Caenorhabditis elegans: one gene and its partners. The protein of the gene in region 2 purifies or fractionates together with the protein of the main gene of each other region. This does not show direct contact. Each region holds a gene or a part of one and is shown on either strand. Other genes may lie near its edges.

Region 1 (6,916 bases), on a different chromosome or scaffold from region 2:
TTTTGAAACTTTCTTTTATGATATTTGTCCATTGTGGTACCGTAGGCGTGTTTTTTTTTTAAATTTTTCCACTAGCTCTATTCATGTTTTAAATTGATTTATTTTTGATAACTAGACACAAATGACATGACGGATAAGAAATCAAATCTTTGTGCTCTCTCCCCGGCCCTTACGTTTTCTTCCTTCTCAATCCAAAATGCGTTTTGGCACGTCGAAAACATTGAGCAGTTGGAGAAACGAGGGGCAAGGCAGAAGGGCCGCGCTTTCGTTTTTTTTGCGTTGTCTTCTCTCGATCTCTTTCTCCGTGTTACGCATATTCTCTCGCACTTTGCTTCTGGCTGCTTAGTTTTTTTCCCTTGCTGAAGGCTGAAAAAGTGAAGAAGAAGAAAACACACCAATCATTCATTCAATCCAGTCGATTTGATAGGAAAATGTAATTCACAATTTTGGTTTTCATGTTTTGTTTCTGTTGTATAAATACATTCAGTTGTCTGGGTCCCCTGCGTCAAGATCAAAAGTGCATCCCCCCTCTAGGGGCTTCTTTCGTGTATTGCATCATGTGTACTTGCCATAGCATATTTCAAAGTCGAAACCTTTTATTTTTGGCTTTTTTCTACTTTTCTTTTTTCCCATGCGTTCGTCACACTCATTATTTACTCTGCATCTTTTCTCTCTCCATTTCAATCACTATCACTTCTCACTTGGCATCATTCATTGTTTTCTTATACCAAAGGAACTAAATAAAACGTTTGTTTGTTGAAGTTTCGGTATTATTTTGAACGTTTAAACTTAATATCTACTCAAATGGATTAAACTAATTCAATAAACTTTTATGGCGGTTCAAAATTTCGAAAAAACATGGCCTAATTTTAGTTAAAATCTTCAATTTTGGCAATACTTTTTTTTTGATTTTTCAATCCTCTGTTGCATATTTGGTCGTTCATCTCTTGTTTTTTTTTTGATTATAGTACAGTTAAAGCCGATAGGTGACCTATTTTTTTTTATTTTAGGTTACCTATCAGCTGTAAATTACGTATTTCCTCTAATAGTATATCATCCAATTACTTTACTCCAAAAGGATATATCTATGTTCGTTTAAAAAATATCAATAAACTGTCAACTGCAAATATATAGAAAAAAATAAAAATAAGTGTTTTTTCAGTTGATCAGTTTTCAATAAAACAAACGCCAACTGAGATTTAAGCTGTCAAAGTTGAGTAATGGAGTGCAATGTATACTACATTAGAAAAAATACGATGTATCCTAATTAACGAAATGAAGTCAAGCTATGCCATTAAATATAATAATTTGAAAAAAAGTTAATTTCTTCGGACCGATGCAACACGAAAAAATGGACAAAATTAGAGATTTTAGCTGAAATAGGTTTTTTTTTGAATTTTTAAATTTTTAAAATTTCAAACCGACATAAAAAATTTTGAAAAAAATTTGGAAGTTTCATTACAAAATTCATTGAATTTAAAATGTCCAGAACCACTCAATGCTCCTCCTATAAAAATAATAATTAAAAGTTGACCTTCCACAGGGTAATATGACCGCGCGCAGTTGTTTGTTTCTGTGTTTTCCTTGTTGTATCTGCGTCGCGCACTTTCTAACCACAATGGTCCCTGCCACACTGTATTACGCGCATTCATTGTCCGCATCGATTAATCAGTTTTTGCTTGTCAACATTTTTCTCTTGCAGTTCTCAGATTTATCCTTTTCTTCTCAAAATTTTTTCATTCTTCTCATCCCATTTTTCTCATCCTTCGTGTTAAATACTATTGTCATAAATTACAGAATTTTGCATAATTCGAAATGGACGCGGACGCATCAACAATCACGCCAGAAGAGCTCGACTTTATCCGTCAGCGAGCTTTGCGCCGCTTCGACTCAATCGTCCCAACTGCTGGAAGAGAAGGAACTGAGATTGCGTCGGATATTTTCAAGGGACGTACTCTCGCGATTTACACGTCCGGAGGAGACTCTCAAGGTACGAATGAATTAGGGCAAAATTTGAAATTTTGACCTGCCATGAAAATTTTGTGTGGAGTCTCCATATAAAATTCATTTCACTTTTAATAAAATTCAAACTTTTCCTTGTAAGAATACGTTTGAAACTTTATTTTCCAGGTATGAACAGCGCTGTTCGAAGTATCACAAGAATGGCTATATACTGTGGATGTAAAGTGTATTTGATCTACGAAGGATACGAAGGAATGATTGAAGGTGGAGATTTCATCAAGGAAGCCACGTGGAACACCGTTTCCGATATTATTCAGCAAGGAGGAACTATCATTGGTTCCGCAAGATCTTCCGAATTCAGAACTCGTGAAGGGCGTCTCAAGGTGAGAAAATAATTAGCCCAATAAAACAAATTTTTGAAAGTTTTGAAAGTTAAAATTAAATTTCCAGGCAGCCACCAACCTGATTAATCGTGGAATTGGTCGTCTTGTATGCATTGGTGGAGATGGATCTCTCACTGGAGCCAACACTTTCCGTTTGGAGTGGACCGATCTTGTGCAAGAACTTGTGAAAAATCAACGAGTCACTGCGGCGGCTGCGAAAAAGATTCCTTACATTCAAATTGTCGGACTTGTCGGATCCATCGACAACGATTTTTGTGGAACCGACATGACGATTGGAACCGACTCGGCACTTCAAAGAATTATCAGTTCTATTGATGCTGTAGTCGCAACTGCACAAAGTCATCAAAGGGCTTTTGTTATTGAGGTGATCTCAATTTATCAAGAAAATAATTCATATACTTATTTTACTCTAGGTCATGGGTCGCCATTGTGGATATCTGGCTCTAGTTGCTGCTCTAGCTTCCGAAGCCGACTTCTGCTTCATTCCTGAATGGCCGGCACCGGAAAATTGGCGTGACGTCTTGTGCGACAAACTTTCTCAAATGAGATCAGAGGGTCAACGTCTTAACATCATTATTGTCGCCGAGGGAGCTATTGATCGTGATGGAAAGGCTATCACCGCCGAGGATGTGAAGACTGCTGTCAAGGAGAAGCTGAAATACGATACACGCGTTACAATTCTTGGACATGTTCAACGCGGAGGTGCTCCATCTGCTTTTGATCGACTTCTTGGATGTAGAATGGGAGCAGAAGCAGTTTTTGCTCTCATGGAGATGACTGAGGTTTCTGGGATTTTCTGTGAATTTTTCATTAATGGTTTGAACGTATGAACCAATATGTTTTCAAATTAACAAAAATCTTAATTGTAGTTTTTTTCAGTGCCGCAGCGGCCCGAAGTTGGCTTTTTTGGATTATCGAACTTTGTCGTAAATTTTGTTCCTTCATCTCATATTATTTTGATAGTTAAGGTTAGGGCTTCCTTGTGAGAGAGGCGCGGCGTTGGCGCCTCCACGGGCCTCCCGCCGGACCTCCTTCACCGTCTGCCGCTGTTTCGCAGCTTGGCGTGAAAAGAGAAATTTGACGTGTGCGCAACGTAGTTCGCAAAGATGGCAGCGGTCGACACTTTGGGGGTTCCGCGCCGTACTATACCTGTGGCGCGATTTGCGGCGTGAAGCCGGCGCTGACGCCTTACCGGCGCCACATGGAAGCCCTAGTCAAGGTATATTTAAAACCGGTAGGTGACCAAAAAATGTCAAAAATTAGTAAATGCAATAAAAGATAATAATGCGCTCAAAAAATCAATTTCAGGCAGCTTCGACACCGAAAAAAGCTCAGAATTAGAGATTTTAGACTATTTTTTCTAACATTTTGTACAGTCAAAGAAAAAAGTTTGAACATTTTTTGCAAAGCTTCATAACGAAATTTACAAATTTTTTCGTTTATTTGAGCACATTTTGGGTCTACACTTTCACCGTTCAAACCGTTATTCCTGCTTGAAAGAAAAGAAGTATAATTTTTTTTTATTTCAGGAATCAGAACCTTGTGTTATCTCAATTGACGGAAATGTTATGGTCCGTGTGCCACTTCTCAAGTGTGTCGAACGAACTCAAATGGTACAGAAGGCAATGGCGGATAAGGACTGGACCACGGCTGTGATGCTTCGTGGACGCAGTTTCCAGAGAAATCTTGAAACGTACAAGTTGCTGACTAAGATGAGAACCGTCGAAAAGGACAATCTTTCGGAAGGACACAAATTCAATGTTGCTGTAATCAACGTTGGCGCTCCAGCCGGTGGAATGAATGCAGCCGTCCGCTCTTATGTTCGAATGGCTCTCTACCATCAGTGTACCGTGTACGGTATTGAAGACAGTTTTGAGGGACTTGCCAATGGGTCATTCAAACAGTTCAAGTGGTCCGATGTTACTAACTGGGCAATGAACGGAGGATCGTTCCTTGGCACACAGAAAAGTCTTCCAACTGAGAAAACTATGCCTCAACTTGCTGCTCAACTGAAGAAGCACAATATTCAAGCGTTATTGCTTGTTGGAGGATTTGAAGCGTATCACAGCACAATAATTCTTGCTGAAAATCGCGAAAAGTATCCCGAGTTTTGCATTCCAATGTGTGTCATCCCATGCACCATCTCGAACAATGTTCCAGGTTTGTTTTTCATTATATAAGGTTTTTAAACAATACATTTCTAATTTTAGGAACTATGGTGTCTCTCGGATCCGATACCGCGATCAATGAGATTTGCCAGATGATCGACAAAATCAAGCAATCTGCCACTGGTACCAAGAGAAGAGTTTTCATTGTCGAAACAATGGGAGGATACTGTGGTTACCTTGCCACTCTTTCTGCGTTGAGCTCCGGTGCGGATAATGCGTACATTTTTGAAGAGCCATTCACCGTTCAAGACCTCTCCGATGATGTTGATGTGATTCTCTCAAAGATGGAAGTTGGAGCGAAACGCTACTTGGTTGTCAGAAATGAGTGGGCCGACAAGAACCTCACCACAGATTTTGTGCAGAATCTTTTTGATTCTGAAGGAAAGAAGAACTTCACCACAAGAGTCAATGTTCTCGGACATGTTCAACAGGGTGGATCTCCAACGCCGTTCGACAGAAATATGGGAACCAAGCTGGCCGCTCGTGCTTTGGAGTTTTTGCTCATTCAGCTCAAGGAAAATTTGACGGCCGATAACAAGGTGATCGCCAAGTCAGCCCATACTGCGACGCTTCTTGGACTCAAAGGACGAAAGGTGGTGTTCACGCCGGTGCAAGATCTCAAGAAGGAGACCGATTTTGAGCATCGTCTTCCATCAGAGCAATGGTTAGTGGACAAGTAGTTTGTAGAAAAAACTATTCAATCTCTAGACTAAAAATAACATAATGGAATACAGCATGTCTGTATTCTTGTTAAATATCTAAACCATAAGTTTAAGGGCTATATGCAATACTCGTGGAGCACGATTTCCTCTAGCGTTAGAGCGCACTTTCTGACATCTTACAAACTCGCGCGGTAATTTGTTTCTATCAAAAATCAGTTTCTTTGGCTAGTTTTTGGCTCCTTTAGAAGATTTTTTTTCCGATTTATATTATTGTTATGATTTGTTAAACATTTTCGATATACAAATCGAAAGTGTGTAAATTTAGGAAATTTTGGAAACTGTATCATAACAGTCAGTTTTTCGATTTTAGGCCGGTATTTGGTTGATCATTTTGTAGAGAAGATGCATATTCATGAAATCCCTTGATTACTTATTGATTTGATTAGTTCTCAACATTTAAAATTTGAAAAAATCACGTAGATCTTTATAACTGTGTAATTTCAAAAATCATGAAGTTAATCACCGCCGGATATGAATTGTTTATAATTTCTGTGATGACTGTTTAAAAAAAAAACTTTCGTTCTCGGCCGTAAGAGCCCAATTTTACATGTTTGCCATTCGCTTAATGTTCCTCATAGTCAGCAATAATGTAAATTAAAAATTTGACAATAATTTCCGTAGAACCCAAAAAATATGTTTTCAAAAACTGATTTCCTGTGGAAGCTGATTCCCGCGTATTCGAGAATTTGTTAGTTGTTAGTAAGCGCGCTCTAATGACAATGAACGCTCCTGGACACATTCTGCGATAAATTTCAATTTAAAAATTTCAGGTGGATGGCTCTGCGTCCACTTCTCCGTGTTCTCGCTCGTCATCGTTCGACCGTTGAAAGTTCTGCAATTTTGGAATCTGTTGAAGAAGAAAGCGCCGACTCACACATGTTCTGAAAAGTTTTGATGTCTCCATAGCGACTACTTTTTTCTGTCTGTCATAATACTTTTTTTTGTGTGTTACACTTACTCGGTATTGTAAATGTTCTCATGGTCTATATTAAATCTTTGCTCGTCTAAATTGTCTCTTTTTACTAAGCTTCCATAGGTTCTCACAATTTTTTTTCTCGCCATTCTTTGCACAAGTTGATTGAAGTCTTAGCCCCTATTTCTTAGTAGTTGAAAATATGCCATGATGCAAATAAATGAAGTGTTTTAAAATATGTAGTTATTTTAAAAATATGTTTATTCAAAGTATTTTATCATTAGAACTGTTCCTATGAAAAGTTTTTTTTGTTCCAAAGCTACAGAGGTTTAAAAAAAAATCATCTAAAAGTAGACCCGTGAGATGTCCACCGCTATATCTCCAGTCAAACTTCTGTTGAAAATTTTAGGGGATCTGAAAAAGAAATCAGCAATATTGTGAACAACATTTTGATTAATTTCACTATAATATTTGATCTTTTTGGCACTATAAGTATAGACTATTAATTAATCTAAATGATATTTGTATTTGTTACAAAATCAAGACAAGAATCTTTAATACACAGAAATATATTTTATTTCTAAAAAGTATGTACAAAGTCCATATATCACAGTGAGAAACACTTAAATCTTCATTTTCTTGATCCAGTAACCGACGTCTCTGTGATAGTATCGGTCGTTGATTTTTCAGGCTTAGCATCAGCTGCAAAAGCTGGATCATCGAAGCCAGTACTAGCTGATCCACCAC
Region 2 (4,690 bases):
TTATTACTGTTTTACTAACATTATAACAATATATAGCTTAAATGAATATTAATTTTATTATACTTTTTCAAAAAATATTCTAAAAATTATGTTTCAATGCGTCAATCAATTCAAGCTCAAGAGCCTAGTGTGGGAGATAAGGAAACAAAAACTGCACGATGTACTCTTCTTTTAGACGATAAGTGATAAGATAAGAAAATTAGGAGAGAGTGAAGAAAGTGAAGAGACGCAGACACACACAACGTGATTTGATTTTTAAGATAGTGGAATTAAAAGGTTCATATTGAAACTCTGTAATAATCGGGTTTCCAGAATTTTTCCGATTTTTTGTTTGTCACAATTTTTAAAAAAATTTCGTTTGATATTATTTTCTTCTGTAACTTATTAAACTTGTCTTAATAAACTTGCCATTTCAAATATTGCAACTTTCTAGAAATTTTGGAACTGTAATTTTTTATCAAAAGAAATTTGGAAACATTTTTAACACTTTTTTAAAATGATAAACTGGAACAGTGAAAATTTTCAATTTTCTAAATTTCATTAGAGATAAATTCATGAAAATTATGAATTTCTAATAAAAATTCAAATTTTTGGTAATTTTTAAATTTCACTGTTTTCCATTGGCATTATTTGTTCTGAATTTTTATAAAATGTATTAGGTTTTAAATATGGAACTTTTGACCATAATTTTTTTTTGGAAAAAAAATTTCTGTGGAGAAATTGAAGCAGAAAAGGAATCTATTGAGAAATTGAAATAGTAACGAAAAAAAAAACATTTTCTGTTTCAGCGAAATTTTTTAATTGTTTAACAATATATTTTAATGGAATACTGACACGAAAAGACAAAAACATAAAAATACAAAACATTCTGACTCATAGATCACATTATTATCATCAAAACAAATAAAACCAAAAACTGATAAACATAATTAATAATCTAAAGTTCCAAAGTGTCAACTCTGCCGATTTTTGATATTATAAAAACCTCTCAATTCCCGAATCACGTGGTAACCCGCCATGCATGACAATTCGATATACATGACCGCCGCTCAAACTGTGCCGATAACACTTTGAATTTATTCATTTTACTGTTTCTAGTGCAAAAACTCTCCGTTTCGTTGAGTTTTGCACTTTTTAGTAGATAATATTTTGAAAACTAACATTTATTTTTAGATTAAAAACTATTTTTGTTCAAGGTAAATTTAAATTTTTAAACCGATTGCATACCTAATGTGAAAAAATTAAAAAAAAAACTTCGACTGTTTTAGAGAGTATGTTTTAAAAAAGTGAGTTTGTAAAATTTTAGTGGTTCGGCATTTTTTTTAATACATTGAAATTGAAATTCAATTTTTTTTCAGTATCAAGATTGGTGCAGCCGCTGTGAAATGTCACCTTTATCAGTATTTTTGTTGAACTTCTGATTTAATTTTTGACAAAATTCACAGAAAAACGAACATTTGCAGAAATTTTTATCAAAAAAATATTTTTTAGAAATTTCCAATGTTTCATCAAGTAACAATAACTGCCAGAACATATTACACTTTGATGGACGGTTTAAATTAACTTCGAATATTCAAAAAGTTGCAGTTTCAGAATTATTTTAATTTGACTTCTTTTTTTTTAATCTCACTTCTTCGAAGAGTGTTTCACCCCTTCTCTAGAATTAACATCCAATAAATGCCAAATTACAGTAGAAAATGAAGAAAGAAGTAACCGAAATTTCATCGTATGATGCCACAAACTTGGTGTTCTACGTAAACGGAAAACGCGTCGAGGAAAAGGATGTTGACCCAAAAATGACACTGGCAACCTACTTGAGAGATAAATGTGAGTTCTTCGATTTTTGGAAAAAAAATTGCTGTTTCCACTAGGCAATATATACGTGTTTCTAGTTTACAAACGTGATGTGCATGAATTGATCTGAAATTCGAAAAAAGAATTTGATTCAAAACAAGCTATCTAGAAATCGTAAATATATAATCCCAAATAGCTAAAAATTTACGAGTTTATTTTATTTTAAGTGAAGCTCACCGGAACAAAAATTGGATGCAATGAGGGAGGATGTGGTGCCTGTACGATAATGATTAGTCATATTGAAAATGGTGAAATCAAGTGAGTTGGGCATGAATGTTTATTTTTTAATAGTAAGTATAGTAAGAAAATATATTTTCGGTTTCAACAATTATTAACAAATTTGTTTTGCATTGTGCTTTCCATTGCATTTTGCAAGGGTTTTTGTCAGATGTTCTTTCAGCAGAGCCGATATTGATTCTCATCACTTTTAAGGGGTTTTTTCTTGAATTGATATCTTGCATCGTTGTAAAAAAGTATTTGAAATTAAAAAGAAGTTTAAAAATGGTAAGGAACTACTTATCTGAACGTATTAGGAGTTTAAAATAGGAATTGGTAATAACGCCAACTTGAAACAGTACAATTTTTGAGAATGTATTTTTTAAAGCCTAATTGTTCCAGACATTTCTCCGCTAACTCCTGTCTTATGCCAGTTTGTGGAGTTTTTGGAAAAGCCGTAACTACTGTGGAGGGTATTGGAAGTGTCGCCAAGAATCGGCTTCATCCAGTTCAGGAGAGACTTGCCAAGTGAGTTGAATTTTTCGTATTGTCGGGAAAACTTATGGAATAATTTTTAGCAATGTTCAGTTATTAAGAACACTTGTAGAAACAGTCAATTTTTTGTTGTTGAAATTTTAAAAATCTTCTGTTTCAAGGGATCCTTTTAAAAACCTGAGATAATACATTTTATTGTTGTAATCAAAATAATCCTAATCCATTCTTCAACTGTTTTGCTTCCAGAGCTCACGGCTCCCAATGTGGATTCTGCACACCTGGATTCGTCATGGCAATGTATGCTTTGTTGCGTAACAATCCAAATCCTACAATATCCGATATTAATTTGGGTCTACAAGGAAACCTGTGCCGTTGTACGGGTTATCGTCCGATTCTTGAAGCATTCTATAGCTTTGCAGTTGATGAAAGTGGAACTTTGAAGGTAAGTTGGGAACCGGGAAATGTCGGATGCTCAAGAAAAGCTAGAAGGTTGTCTTTAACACTCAATATTGCCGTATCATAAAAAAAAGTAACTAGATATGTTCCACATCAAAACTTAAAAAGTAAAATGAAACAGGAGAGCACTCTTAAATCTTTTTTTTTTTCGGAAAACTTGTTTTTTCAATAGTTTTTTGAGCGCCCGACATTTTCTAGTAATTTTCCCTAAAAAAACTGTCGAATTATCCAGGTCACCGAAGAAAATGGCTGTGGAATGGGAGAAAATTGCTGTAAAGTTAAGAAAACTGCATGCGGAGGCTCCGATGAAACTACACCGGGATACACTGGCGGAGAAAGAAAACGAGTAGGTTTTACTTTGAAATTTACAAATTAAAAATTAAAAATTACATGAAAATATTTCAGAAAATCCAACTGAGTGACATGTCGGACTGCAAACCATACGATCCAACTCAAGAGCTCATTTTTCCACCGGAGCTCAAGCTTCATGGATATGAGTCCATGTCGTTTGCCTATGATCATCATCACACCAAATGGTATCAACCTGTCAGTTATGAGTGAGTTTTTTTTTAATTGGATTTGTGAAATTAAACACTCATTAGTTTTGTATTTTCTCATTAGTTTTGTATTCAAAATAGAGAAAAACGCTCATTAAAAGTGAGAGTTTATTTATCCGGAACACGAAAAAGTACAAATATTATGAAAACAAATCGAACTTATTGATTAAATTGAAACGATTTGAATTAGATAAATAAAATAAGTGAAACAGAAAAAAAATTTAACATTTGTTGTTAGTAGAATCGACAAAGAGAGACTCATATATATATATGTATTAAAGATATAGTCTAGTAACAAAACAAATCAATTGCGTGAAACTGTAATTTTTTGTCCAAAAAGTCAATGCAGGGTTTTTGAATTTTTTGGTACAGAAAATTACAGTTTCACGCAATTGATTTTACTAGATTATTTTTATGGTCGAAATTATTTCTCCTATCAACAAGCATCTAACAGTATAACAATTCCAGTGACCTTCTATCACTGAAACGAGAACTTCCTCATGCTCGTCTAATCTCTGGAAATTCCGAGTTGGCAATTGAGCTCAAATTTCGATTCATCGATCTTCCGGCAGTTATCAATCCACGACAAGTAAAAGTACTTCATGAAAAACATTTGGAAAATGATGGAGTTTATATGGGAACTGGAATGTCGTTGACTGATATGGATAACTATTCTGTTCAATTAATGAAAGATCTTCCAAGAGAACAGACTGCAGTGTTGAAGCATGTTCATGAGATGCTCCATTGGTTTGCGGGTATTCATGTCAGAAATGTTGCGGTTAGTACTTTTTTTTCAGATACATATATCAGACGATACAATAATGATCCAAACTTATCAAAAATTTCATAAAAGTTTGAAACAGAAAAATAAACAAATTTATCTCATTTCAGTCAGTTGCTGGAAACATTGCAACAGCATCTCCAATCTCTGATCTCAATCCAATTTGGATGGCATCCAATGCATTGGTCGTTTTGGATTCAGAAGCCCGTGGTGAAAAACGAGTTCATATCGATGAGAAGTTCTTCTTGGGATACAGAAAAACCGTTATTCAACAGGATGAAATTATCAAGGCTGTCATTGTTCCGTTGTTGGAAGAAAATGAGCATTTTGC
Region 3 (5,787 bases), on a different chromosome or scaffold from region 2:
TCGAATTAAAAACGACAGCCTGGGTGCCACGACGACCATGAAAATGACGTTTTTCGTACGGTGAGATGTATTTTTCCGATTTTTTGGCGAGAATTTCCGGAATTTTGGAGGATTTTGAAGTTGGCGGTGGAGCAATGTGTTCTGGAAGAAAAATGGGTTATTTTTGGCGGGAAATTTCGAATTTTGAAGATCATTTTTGAGAAAAATGTGAAAAGTTGGAAAAACTTGAATTTTTTTTTCGAAAAAAAATTTTTTTTGCAAAAAAATTATCGTTTTTTGGAATTTTTTTAAAATTCGCTCAAAATTCGTAAAATTCCCAATAAAAAGTGAATATTTCGAAAAAAAATTTTTTTTTAATTTTTGAAAAAAAAAAAAATTTTTTGAAATTTTTTTTAATTCTTAAAAAATTTAATTTTTTTCACAATATTCCTTAAAATTAGCTTAAAATCACAAAATTCTAAATTTTAGCGATTTTTCCACCGAAAATTACAGAATTTTAACACAAAATCCGACAATTTTGGTGGTTTTGCTGGAAATTTAGAATTTTCCAGAGGTTTTTCCGTTTTTTCAGGATTTTTTAGAGAAAATTTTCGAAATTCACCAGAAACTCAATGGTAAATTGCCAATTAAAATGAAAATTTTGAAAAAAAAAATTTTTTTGAATTTTTGGAAAAAAAAATTTCTAAAAATTAGTTTTTTGCAAATTATAACTATTTTCTCTGAAAAAGTCCAATTTTGCAAATTTCCACTCAAAATTCAATTTAAACCATAATTTTCATCCGAAAACTTGCGAAAAATCCCATTTTTTCTGGATTTTTCCCAAAACTTTTGGGATTTTCCGATTGTTTTTTCTAAAAAATCAATTTTCCATGTAAAAACTGTATAGTTGGTGTGTTGACAGTGCAAATAAATTAACAATACATGTGAATTTATAAATTTGCATTTGAATAGGAGAAATACCGGGGGAAATGGTTTTTTTTTCTCATTTTCCTCAATTTTTCTCAATTTTCCCCATTTTTTTCCAGTTTTTTCGCATTCCCCTATCGATTTTCTCAATTATCGATTGATTTCCGCACCATTTTCAAGACTTTCAACCCTTTGCGTGGGCGGAGGTGGGGGCTTCTGCTCCAGCATGCCGGAGCACTGATCGAACGCGGCGACGAGATCACGAATTCGGCCGCGTGGCACCGGTTTGCGCCACGTAGCATCTGACGGTGGTGTATCGACGATCGGGTGCGGCATCCAGCGGTAGAACTGGAAAAAATTCGGATTTTTTGTGAATTGTATCGATTTTTCCGGATTTTTGCCCTACCTGACTTGATCCGATTGGCACCGGAGTTGGCGGCATCGATTTTCCGTCGAAATTCTCCATTTTTCGTCAAAAATCTCCGAAAAAACGGCGAAAAACCGTCTAGAAATCGCAAAAATCGATTTTAAAAATTCAAAATTCCATCGAATCCCTCACATCACTGAATTCGTGGCGAGACCTATTTGAAGTTTTGAGCTATGCGCCTTTAAGAAAAACCGTAGTTTTTTCGCGAATTATCGCATTTATGCGGAATTACGGCGAAAAAGCGAGAATAATCGAAGAAAATGCGATAAGAATTGATAAAAAATGATAAGATTGTGTGCATTATTCAGGTGACAGATTGATTTTTGCCCAAATGTTGCGTTTTTTGCGACGAGAAATAATTCATATATTTATTTAGTTATTTTAAGTTTAATTTTTTCACTTTAATAACATTACGCTCTTCAGAAAAAAGACAACATGACTGTGGACAAGGTTAAGCTGGTCATTGGTGAGTTAAACGGAGAATAAAAACAAATTTAAACCAATTTTTGAGTAAAAAATTCTATAAAATTCGTTAAAACTCGAGTTTTTTCTTTTCTTTTTTAAAATTTCTACTTTTCTACGTTCAAATACACCGAAAACGTATTAATTCCGAAGATTTTCGTTAAAACACTGGAAAATTCGAGCTTCCCGCCAGAAAACTGAGTTTGTCATTGGAGCGTGATTGCATTGCTTGGCGATTTAAAAAAACGAGTCTAGACGCTTCAATAATCGATTTTTTCGGATTTTCAGATGATAAACGAGAATTCTAATTTAAAAAAAAACAAGAAGTCTTCAAATTTTCCACTTATTTTCGTCAAAAAACACTTGAAAATTTGAAATTAGCGTCGGAAAACGGACTAGTTCACTGGAGCGCGCTTGCTTAGCGAGTTTTATCGATTTTTAAAGTTTTACATAAAGTTTACCAAATTTTAAGCTTTAAAAACAAAAATTAATCGATTTTCAGACTCTGACGGTGTAAGCGACGACGTGCGAGCCATCTCCCTAGCCTTGCAGCACCCAAAAGCCGAAATTCTCGCATTCACCGCAGTCCACGGCTGTGTGACAGTAGATCAAGCCTGTGCGAACATCAAAAGAACCATCCGAGCCAACGATCGGAGCAATATCCCAGTGTACAAGGGTGCGGCTAAATCGATTTTGTCGCTGCCGAAGGATGATACCGTATCCGATTTTTTCGGGATCGATGGGATCGGTGATAAGCCGGAGGAGTTCCCGAAAGTCGAAAGATCCGATTTTGAGGGGGAGGGGAAGCATGCGTCACTTGCTTTAATCGATATTTTGAGAGAGAATCGGGATGCCACTTTGGTGTAAGTTGAGGCTACAGTAACCCTTCTGTACCCCCACCGCATCCCTACAGTACCCCTACAGTACCCCCACAGCGACCTACAGTACCCTTGCACTATCCCTACAGTACCCCACAGTACCCCTGCACTATCCCTACAGTACCCCACAGTACCCCTGCACTATCCCTGGTACCCCGGACAGTTCCCCTCTAGTATTCACGCAGTAGTGTTACTGTATCCCCACAGTTCCCCACTGTGCCCTTGCAGTAACACTACAGTATCCCTACAGCAACTCTACAGTAACCCTATAGTACCCCGACAGTACCCCAACAGATCCCCTACATAACCCTACAGTACCTCTGGTAACCGAACAGGTACTCACACAATAGTGTTACAGTACCCCTACTGTTCCCCCCACAGTACACACACAGTAACCCTACAGTAACCCTACACTAATTCCACTAAAGCCCTATGGTACCATAACTGTATACCTACAGTATTTCTACAGTACCCCTACAGTATCCCTGGTACCTGGACAGTTTCCCTACCCTACCCCAATAGACCCCCTACAGAAACCCTACAGTACCGCTTCAGTACCCCTACAGTACTCCTACAGTACCCCTACATTACCCCTATAGTACCTCAACATTACCCTTTTAAAGTCCTACGGTACTCCTACAGTATCCATACAGTCCTCCTACATTTTCGCCTACGCCGAGCTATTCTGGGTGTCAAATTTCGATTTTAATCTATTTTTGCTCAATTTTCCCTAAATTTTCAACAAAACCATTTTTCAGAACCATCGGTCCCCTCACAAACGTGGCGATTGCTCTCCAACTCTGCGAGGAGTTTTCGACGTACCCATCCCGGCTGGTAATCATGGGAGGAAATTATTACGCGGTCGGAAATGTTGATGGAGGTAGGTTCTTCAAAAAAAAAACTAGGGTGGACCACTTTGGCGGGCCATATCTCGTTTCATTTTTGAGATATTAGAAAAGTTTCAACTATAAACCTGTTCAGAAACATGTAACAAACATTTCATCAGTTAACAATTTGTTGACAAACCCAAAACCGACGGAGATACAGACCCGTCAAACCCCAAAAAGCCCCCCTAATTTTTCCAGGTTCCTCAGCCGAGTACAACTTCCACGGAGACCCGGAAGCCGCGAGCATTGTGCTCCGACGTATGAAGTGTCCCATCACCATTGTTCCATGGGAGGCATTCTATTTTGAATCAAAGACCCATGATGCTTCAGTTGATTTTTCGGCTCATTTGAAGTATGGAACCCCATTGGCTAATTACTTATCGCTGGCCACCAGCATTGGTAAGGTTTTTTAAAGTTATAACTCGAAAACTAGGGTAGATACTAGATACCAAAAAAAAACTGTCAATTGGAAAGTTGTTCAGCGTAAAATTCTGCATTGATTTGACCCCCATGTCGATAATTTTCAAATTTTCGAATTTGACACTTAAAATTGCTCGCGGAGCTCCTAGCCTTTCCCAATGCTTCAAACGTATTGAAATTTCGTTTTTCGGATAACCCGCAAAATCCTACACCCAGAAAACTCAACTTCCAGCCTTAGCCAGCAGTTTTGTAAAGGGGTCGAAGTGGCTCAACTGGGTACATGTACGGCTTTGGTGAAATAGGTCCGGGCTTCTCGAGGCCCCGCTAGTGTGTCAATAATTTTTTTAGAGTTCGAAGGTCTGTAGATTAGTCAACAAGTACATTTTTTTTTTAGAGTTCCTAAATTCGATTTGTATGTTCCAGGCCGCGTAAAATGCGAGGCCAACGGCCGCCAATACTCCTACTGCGACGAGATCGCTGTGGCTACTGCAATCGATGAGGATAAAATTGCAAAAAAGTCTCAGTACCTGTATGTCGATGTAGAGCTGAATGGAACAAAGACACGTGGGCAGGTTGTGGTTGATTGGACCGAGCAACTGTGGTCGAATGAGGAAGCTCCGAATCAGGTGAAAACAAAAAATCTGGGGTTCTGTATAGTTTTTGAGGCATAACTCGGAAACTAGAAGAGTTATCAAAAAGTTGCCAACTGAAATGTTGTTCAGCGTGAAATTCTGCATCGATTTGACCCCCATATAAAAAATTTTCAAATTTTCAAGGTCGATACCCAAAATTGCTCACGGAGCTTTTAGCTGCTCATGGTGTTCCAAACTTATTTAAAACATGATTTTTGGGTTCCCCGTAGTATTCTACATCAGGTACGGTTGAATTCCAGCCTTAGCCAGCAATTTTGAAAATGGGGCGAAGTGGCTCAGGTGGGTAGATTGATGAGGCTATTGTGAAATAGGTCAGGGGTTCGAATCCCTTTGGGTTTATTAGTATTTTTAATGTTATATACAATAGATATACAACACTCAGACAGTCCAAAATCTAGATATTATCAATTTTTTGTTTAATAAACCAATTTTCAGCACACCCATCGCCGTGTCAAATTCGTCACCTCTTACGACGTTCATACTGTGGACAAGTGGCTTCATGCAGCCACTTCTGGAAGTGGAAAATTCGATTAACTCTTTAAAACTGTAAAATGTCACATTTATTGCTCTTATTTATGGTGTGTGTGTGTGTGTGTTGAAATTTGCAATAAAAAGTTATTTTTTAATGAAAATTATGACTTTTTCGAAGCATAACTCGAAAACTAGAGTAGATATCAAAAAAGTGTCAACTGAAATGTTGTTCAGCGTAAAATTCTGCACCGAATTGACCCCCATTTAGAATATTTTGTAATTTTCGAATTTGACACCTAAAACTGCTCGCGGAGCTCCTACCTGCTCCCGGTGAACCAAACTGGCTGAAAATCTGATATTCAAAATAACCGTGAAATTCTACACCAGGGACACCTAAATTCCAGCTTTAGCCAGCATTTTTGAAAAATGGTGAAAGTGGCTCAACTGGGTAGATGGACGGCTATGGTGAAAAAAGCCAGGGGTTCGAGTCCCCGCTAGTGTCAATAATTTTTCCAGGGTAATGCAACATGCAGGCAGATGTTTTAATGGAGAACATCAGAAATTTCAGCTGAATTTCGCAAATTTCAGGTTTTTCAAATAGTTTTCCGACTAAATCGCAAATAACTGAAAAACTAGAAGAGTTATCAAAAAGTTGCCAACTGAAATGTTGTTCAGCGTAAAAT
Region 4 (3,974 bases), on a different chromosome or scaffold from region 2:
ATAACTCACAAGCTTTCGTTTTCTGAAATTTTGTAAATAATCAATTAAAAAAAGAATTTTTATTGCACGATATAAACAAAAATATTTAATACTTAAATACTAATATCATTTTTTTGTGTAATAAGTCAGATCAGCCGAAACCGTATTAAAACATGGTAGAGGGGAAGGGGTTCACTGCAACTTTTCTTAAACGAGGGACGAGGAAATGCGGTTTCTAGGCCATGGCCGAGGATCCGACAAGATTTAGCGGCAATTTATCTTGCTTTGTTTTCCGCTTGTTTTTTTTTTTGTTTTTCACAGTTTTTTTTCCCGTTTTTCCTATTAAAACTGATGGATAAATATTTTTTCGCAGATGCTAGAACAATCGGCAAGAAGCGGTGAAAATGATCAATGTAATATGATGGATTACAGGCATACCAAACCTAAACTTTTTCCGAAACATGATATATATACTGCTTAGATGCTGAAACTACTTGATTTTCATAACGAGACCGCTGAAAAAAAGTTTTGAGATTTTTAAAATTCAACATTTTGTGCGAAAATATCGACTTTTTCACCAAAAAAGTTGAATTTTAAAAATCTCAAAACTTTTTCAGCGGTCTCGTTATGAAAATCAGGTAGTTTCAGCCTCTAAGCAGCATATATTTCATGATTCGGAAAAAGTTTAGGTTTAGTATTCCCGTAATCCATCGCTACACAATTTTTCAGTTGGAAATTGTTCTAGCATCTGCAAAAAATATTTATTCATCAGTGTTAATAAGAAAAAAACGGGAGAAAAATCGGTGAAAAACCAAAGAAAAAACGCGGAAAACAAAGCAAAATAAATTGCCGCTAAATCTTGTCGGATCCCCGGCCGTGGCCTAGAAACCGTATTTCCTCGTCCCTCATTCAAAAAAGTTGCAGTGAGGTTAGGAAATCATCACAGGATTCTTCTATTCATGTCAGTATGCAATAGATTATAATTATTATATACAGCTACCCGAGAGGTTAAAGGTATAATGGCTGGCTAGCCAACGATCGGACGATCCAGTGAACACATCTTTCGATATTTGTTCCTTCTAGCGCCGAAACCGGAAGAACTGCAAGGTCCGAGCGGTGATTGTCGTCTTCGAGCAGCATTCGGACCTGGAAAATATGATTTTAATGCAGGAATTTCGGTTTTTTTTTTCGATTTTTGAGAAAAATCTGACCTCAGCGGCAGCGGCGGCTCCTTCCATTTCACTTTTATTCACCGCTACTAAAACTGGAATATTTTGAACTATTTCGTTGGCCATTACTTCTTCTGAAATATTCGTATTATTATTATTATTTCTGGTATAAATTTGATTTATTTCAATTTCAAACTACTTACTAAACTGAGATGCTACTATTGGGAAGAGATCGCTCCTTGTTGCGTCCACAACAAAAATCATGGCATTTGCATCGTCGTAATATGTCGCCCAGAGTTCTCGTAAACTCTCCTGGCCTCCGAGATCCCAGAAATGAAGACATGTGTTGTTGAGCTCGACATTTCCAGCTGAAAATTGAAAAAAAAAATTTTTTGATTTTTAATTCATTTTAGAGGCTTACTATTCAAACCAACTGTCGCCGTGATTTTTGATGGATTCAGAACCCCGTAGTCCTTTACAAAGTGAGATTTTGTTTGCTCCAGAAACGTCTGAAATCGATAATTTCTGATATTAATCGGTGAGATCTCAAATTCAAGAGACTTACAGTTTTTCCAGCATTATCCAGACCGACTATCACCACATAATAGTCTTTTTTCTTGAAGAATTTCTCCCAGATACCCGCCGAAAGTGTGTACATATGTGAAATATTCGATTTTAAAGAGGAAAAACCGAGCGGAGTTGGCAAAATAAAAGAAAAACGAGATATGCGCCAAGGACGCCTGCTGGCGCATTCTTCGTCTCGTTGGCACGCAACTGGTGCGCTTACGCTTCGTGTACGAAATTTATTTATTTTTCGAATAGATTTTGGTGGATTTTTTCGTTTTTAATTGTTTTTTTTTGGTTTTAAAACTCAATTTTCTTGTTTTACGCAATAAATACTTGATCAGAAATCGATTTTTTGTGTGTAAAATCCAGAATTCGTGCATAAAATTTCTCTAAGGGGGTTTTTAACTTTTAGGAGTAAAGATTCTAGGTATTTTGAATGTATAAGACCGAAATATGCTCAAATAAGCGAATTTTGCAATAAAAATTCTTAAAGAGTGCTCGAACATTTTTTATGTCGGGTAAAATCTCCAATTCTGGCTACTTTCCATGTCGCAGCGATTGGAAGTGGACTTTTTTGGAATTTTCATCTCTTTTTGCATAATTTGATCGATTATCTCACGTTTTTAAGCAATAAAGGATGATAATTTAAAAAAAAGTGAACTTTCCATCGCCGCGACGCGGAAAAGTGGCCAAATTTCGCTATTCCACTCAGTAAACCCGTTCAGAATATACCCAGATTTAAACCGTACAAGCCTATATTATGAAAAATTCTAATTTTGGGCAGATGTAAACCAAGATTGTCTAGATTCAAACATAATTTGCATAGATTGCAAGTTTGAGTAGATGTAAACTGAATTTGTGTAGGTTTGTGTAGATCCAAACCAAATTTGTGCAGATAAATTCACAATATAGGCTTGTACGGTTTTAATTTGGTTTAAATCTGGGTATATTCTGAACGGGCTTACTGAACAAGTGAACTTAGCCGGGTTTTTCGGAATTTTGAGAAATTTCATTACGAAATTCGTCCATTTGAGCACATTTTGGATCTTCAACGTTAAAAATTACTCCTGTTTTAATAGTAAAAATTAAATTTTAAAAAACGATTTTTATGCTTGAAACACAGAGTTTACATGCAAAAATCGATAGAAATTTGAGTTTTAAACCAAAAAAAATCACTAAAAAACCCAGAACCGTTACGATTTCCTCTTTTAAATACAAATTTAAGAACTTTCAGATGTTCTTCCACTTGTCACTCGACCATGAAGTCTGCCTCCATCCGAAATATTTCGGTCCAAACCTGAACGAAACCATCAAAATGAAGCTGTTCAACGAAGTCGAGGGAACGTGCACAGGAAAGTACGGATTCGTCATCGCAGTCACCACAATCGACACGATCGGCCACGGCCTGATCCAGCCTGGCCGTGGATTCGTCATCTACCCGGTCCGTTACAAGGCCATCGTGTTCCGCCCGTTCAAAGGACAAGTCGTCGATGGAGTCGTCACACAGGTCAATAAAGTCGGCATTTTCTGTGATATCGGACCACTTTCATGCTTCATCAGTCGTCATTGTATTCCACCAGACATGGAATTCGATCCGAACAGTGAGAAACCGTGCTACAAGACCAATGATGAGGCGAATGTGATTCGGAATGATGATGAGATCCGTGTGAAGCTCATCGGAACACGTGTCGATGCTAACGACATTTTTGCCATCGGAACCTTGATGGACGATTTTCTCGGACTGTGCCAAGCGGAATGATCTGGTTTTCAACGATTCGCTGTATCATAATTTATCTATCACCACGTTATTTCACAATATTTTAATTTTTACTTTTTTTAAAATCCATCTGTTACGTTTAAACCTTAAAGGATCTCATTTTATTGGTTTTACTTGCTTTTTGGAACTTAAAACTTGGTTTTTTACCATTTTTAATATCTTTTTTTTTATATTCTCCTCATTTATATTCTTTAATTGGACTTAAAACTCGCATAATCCCATTTCAGATGAAGTTCCTTCCCGATGTTGCGATGTTCAGCGAGATCCGCCAGATGAATATTCGTCAGGTACTGAATTTTGCAAAAAAATTATTTTCGAGCGAAAAAAAGGGATTTTCAGTGGAAAAAGGGTGTATTTTTATAGGAAATCATCGAAAAATCCAGAGAAAATTTAGTTTTTAAGACAAATTTAATATTTTTCATGGAAAATATGTTTTTCTTTTCAGGACCGCGCAGGAGTTTTTAATTCGTAAAAATTTTTTT

What was found.
Region 1: the proteins of xdh-1 (region 2) and pfk-1.1 fractionate together in Caenorhabditis elegans (co-fractionation; one large-scale study listed by BioGRID). This does not show direct contact.
Region 3: the proteins of xdh-1 (region 2) and Y43F8C.13 fractionate together in Caenorhabditis elegans (co-fractionation; one large-scale study listed by BioGRID). This does not show direct contact.
Region 4: the proteins of xdh-1 (region 2) and rpb-7 fractionate together in Caenorhabditis elegans (co-fractionation; one large-scale study listed by BioGRID). This does not show direct contact.

What each region holds. Positions count from the first base shown.
Region 1 is NC_003284.9:2,939,075-2,945,990, forward strand, and holds pfk-1.1 (ATP-dependent 6-phosphofructokinase 1), read left to right. Parts: upstream 1-1,797; 5' UTR 1,798-1,815; coding exon 1,816-1,990; intron 1,991-2,130; coding exon 2,131-2,345; intron 2,346-2,412; coding exon 2,413-2,730; intron 2,731-2,779; coding exon 2,780-3,148; intron 3,149-3,895; coding exon 3,896-4,526; intron 4,527-4,576; coding exon 4,577-5,198; exon of another isoform or gene 5,199-6,026; coding exon 6,027-6,141; 3' UTR 6,142-6,404; downstream 6,405-6,916. Other genes in the region: Y41G9A.10 (Prion-like-(Q/N-rich)-domain-bearing protein), read right to left, coding at 6,801-6,916. UniProt on the Caenorhabditis elegans protein: Catalyzes the phosphorylation of D-fructose 6-phosphate to fructose 1,6-bisphosphate by ATP, the first committing step of glycolysis.
Region 2 is NC_003282.8:14,409,894-14,414,583, reverse strand, and holds the start of xdh-1 (xanthine dehydrogenase), read left to right. Parts: upstream 1-1,689; 5' UTR 1,690-1,697; coding exon 1,698-1,827; intron 1,828-1,905; exon of another isoform or gene 1,906-1,926; intron 1,927-2,021; coding exon 2,022-2,112; intron 2,113-2,217; exon of another isoform or gene 2,218-2,238; intron 2,239-2,293; exon of another isoform or gene 2,294-2,314; intron 2,315-2,357; exon of another isoform or gene 2,358-2,383; intron 2,384-2,472; coding exon 2,473-2,598; intron 2,599-2,616; exon of another isoform or gene 2,617-2,637; intron 2,638-2,761; exon of another isoform or gene 2,762-2,782; intron 2,783-2,811; coding exon 2,812-3,007; intron 3,008-3,073; exon of another isoform or gene 3,074-3,094; intron 3,095-3,253; coding exon 3,254-3,367; intron 3,368-3,426; coding exon 3,427-3,578; intron 3,579-3,644; exon of another isoform or gene 3,645-3,665; intron 3,666-3,723; exon of another isoform or gene 3,724-3,744; intron 3,745-3,832; exon of another isoform or gene 3,833-3,853; intron 3,854-4,002; exon of another isoform or gene 4,003-4,027; intron 4,028-4,046; coding exon 4,047-4,356; intron 4,357-4,375; exon of another isoform or gene 4,376-4,396; intron 4,397-4,469; and 1 more.
Region 3 is NC_003283.11:19,693,368-19,699,154, reverse strand, and holds Y43F8C.13 (Nucleoside hydrolase), read left to right. Parts: upstream 1-1,756; 5' UTR 1,757-1,768; coding exon 1,769-1,799; intron 1,800-2,297; coding exon 2,298-2,658; intron 2,659-3,431; coding exon 3,432-3,553; intron 3,554-3,758; coding exon 3,759-3,959; intron 3,960-4,403; coding exon 4,404-4,606; intron 4,607-5,068; coding exon 5,069-5,167; 3' UTR 5,168-5,255; downstream 5,256-5,787. Other genes in the region: ani-3 (Anillin-like protein 3), read right to left, coding at 1-141, 1,077-1,254, 1,313-1,372.
Region 4 is NC_003279.8:3,030,838-3,034,811, reverse strand, and holds rpb-7 (DNA-directed RNA polymerase II subunit RPB7), read left to right. Parts: upstream 1-1,873; coding exon 1,874-1,942; intron 1,943-2,949; coding exon 2,950-3,474; downstream 3,475-3,974. Other genes in the region: Y54E10BR.2 (ADP-ribosylation factor-related protein 1), read right to left, coding at 988-1,125, 1,191-1,282, 1,352-1,516, 1,570-1,657, 1,714-1,806; sec-11 (Signal peptidase complex catalytic subunit SEC11), read left to right, coding at 3,720-3,779.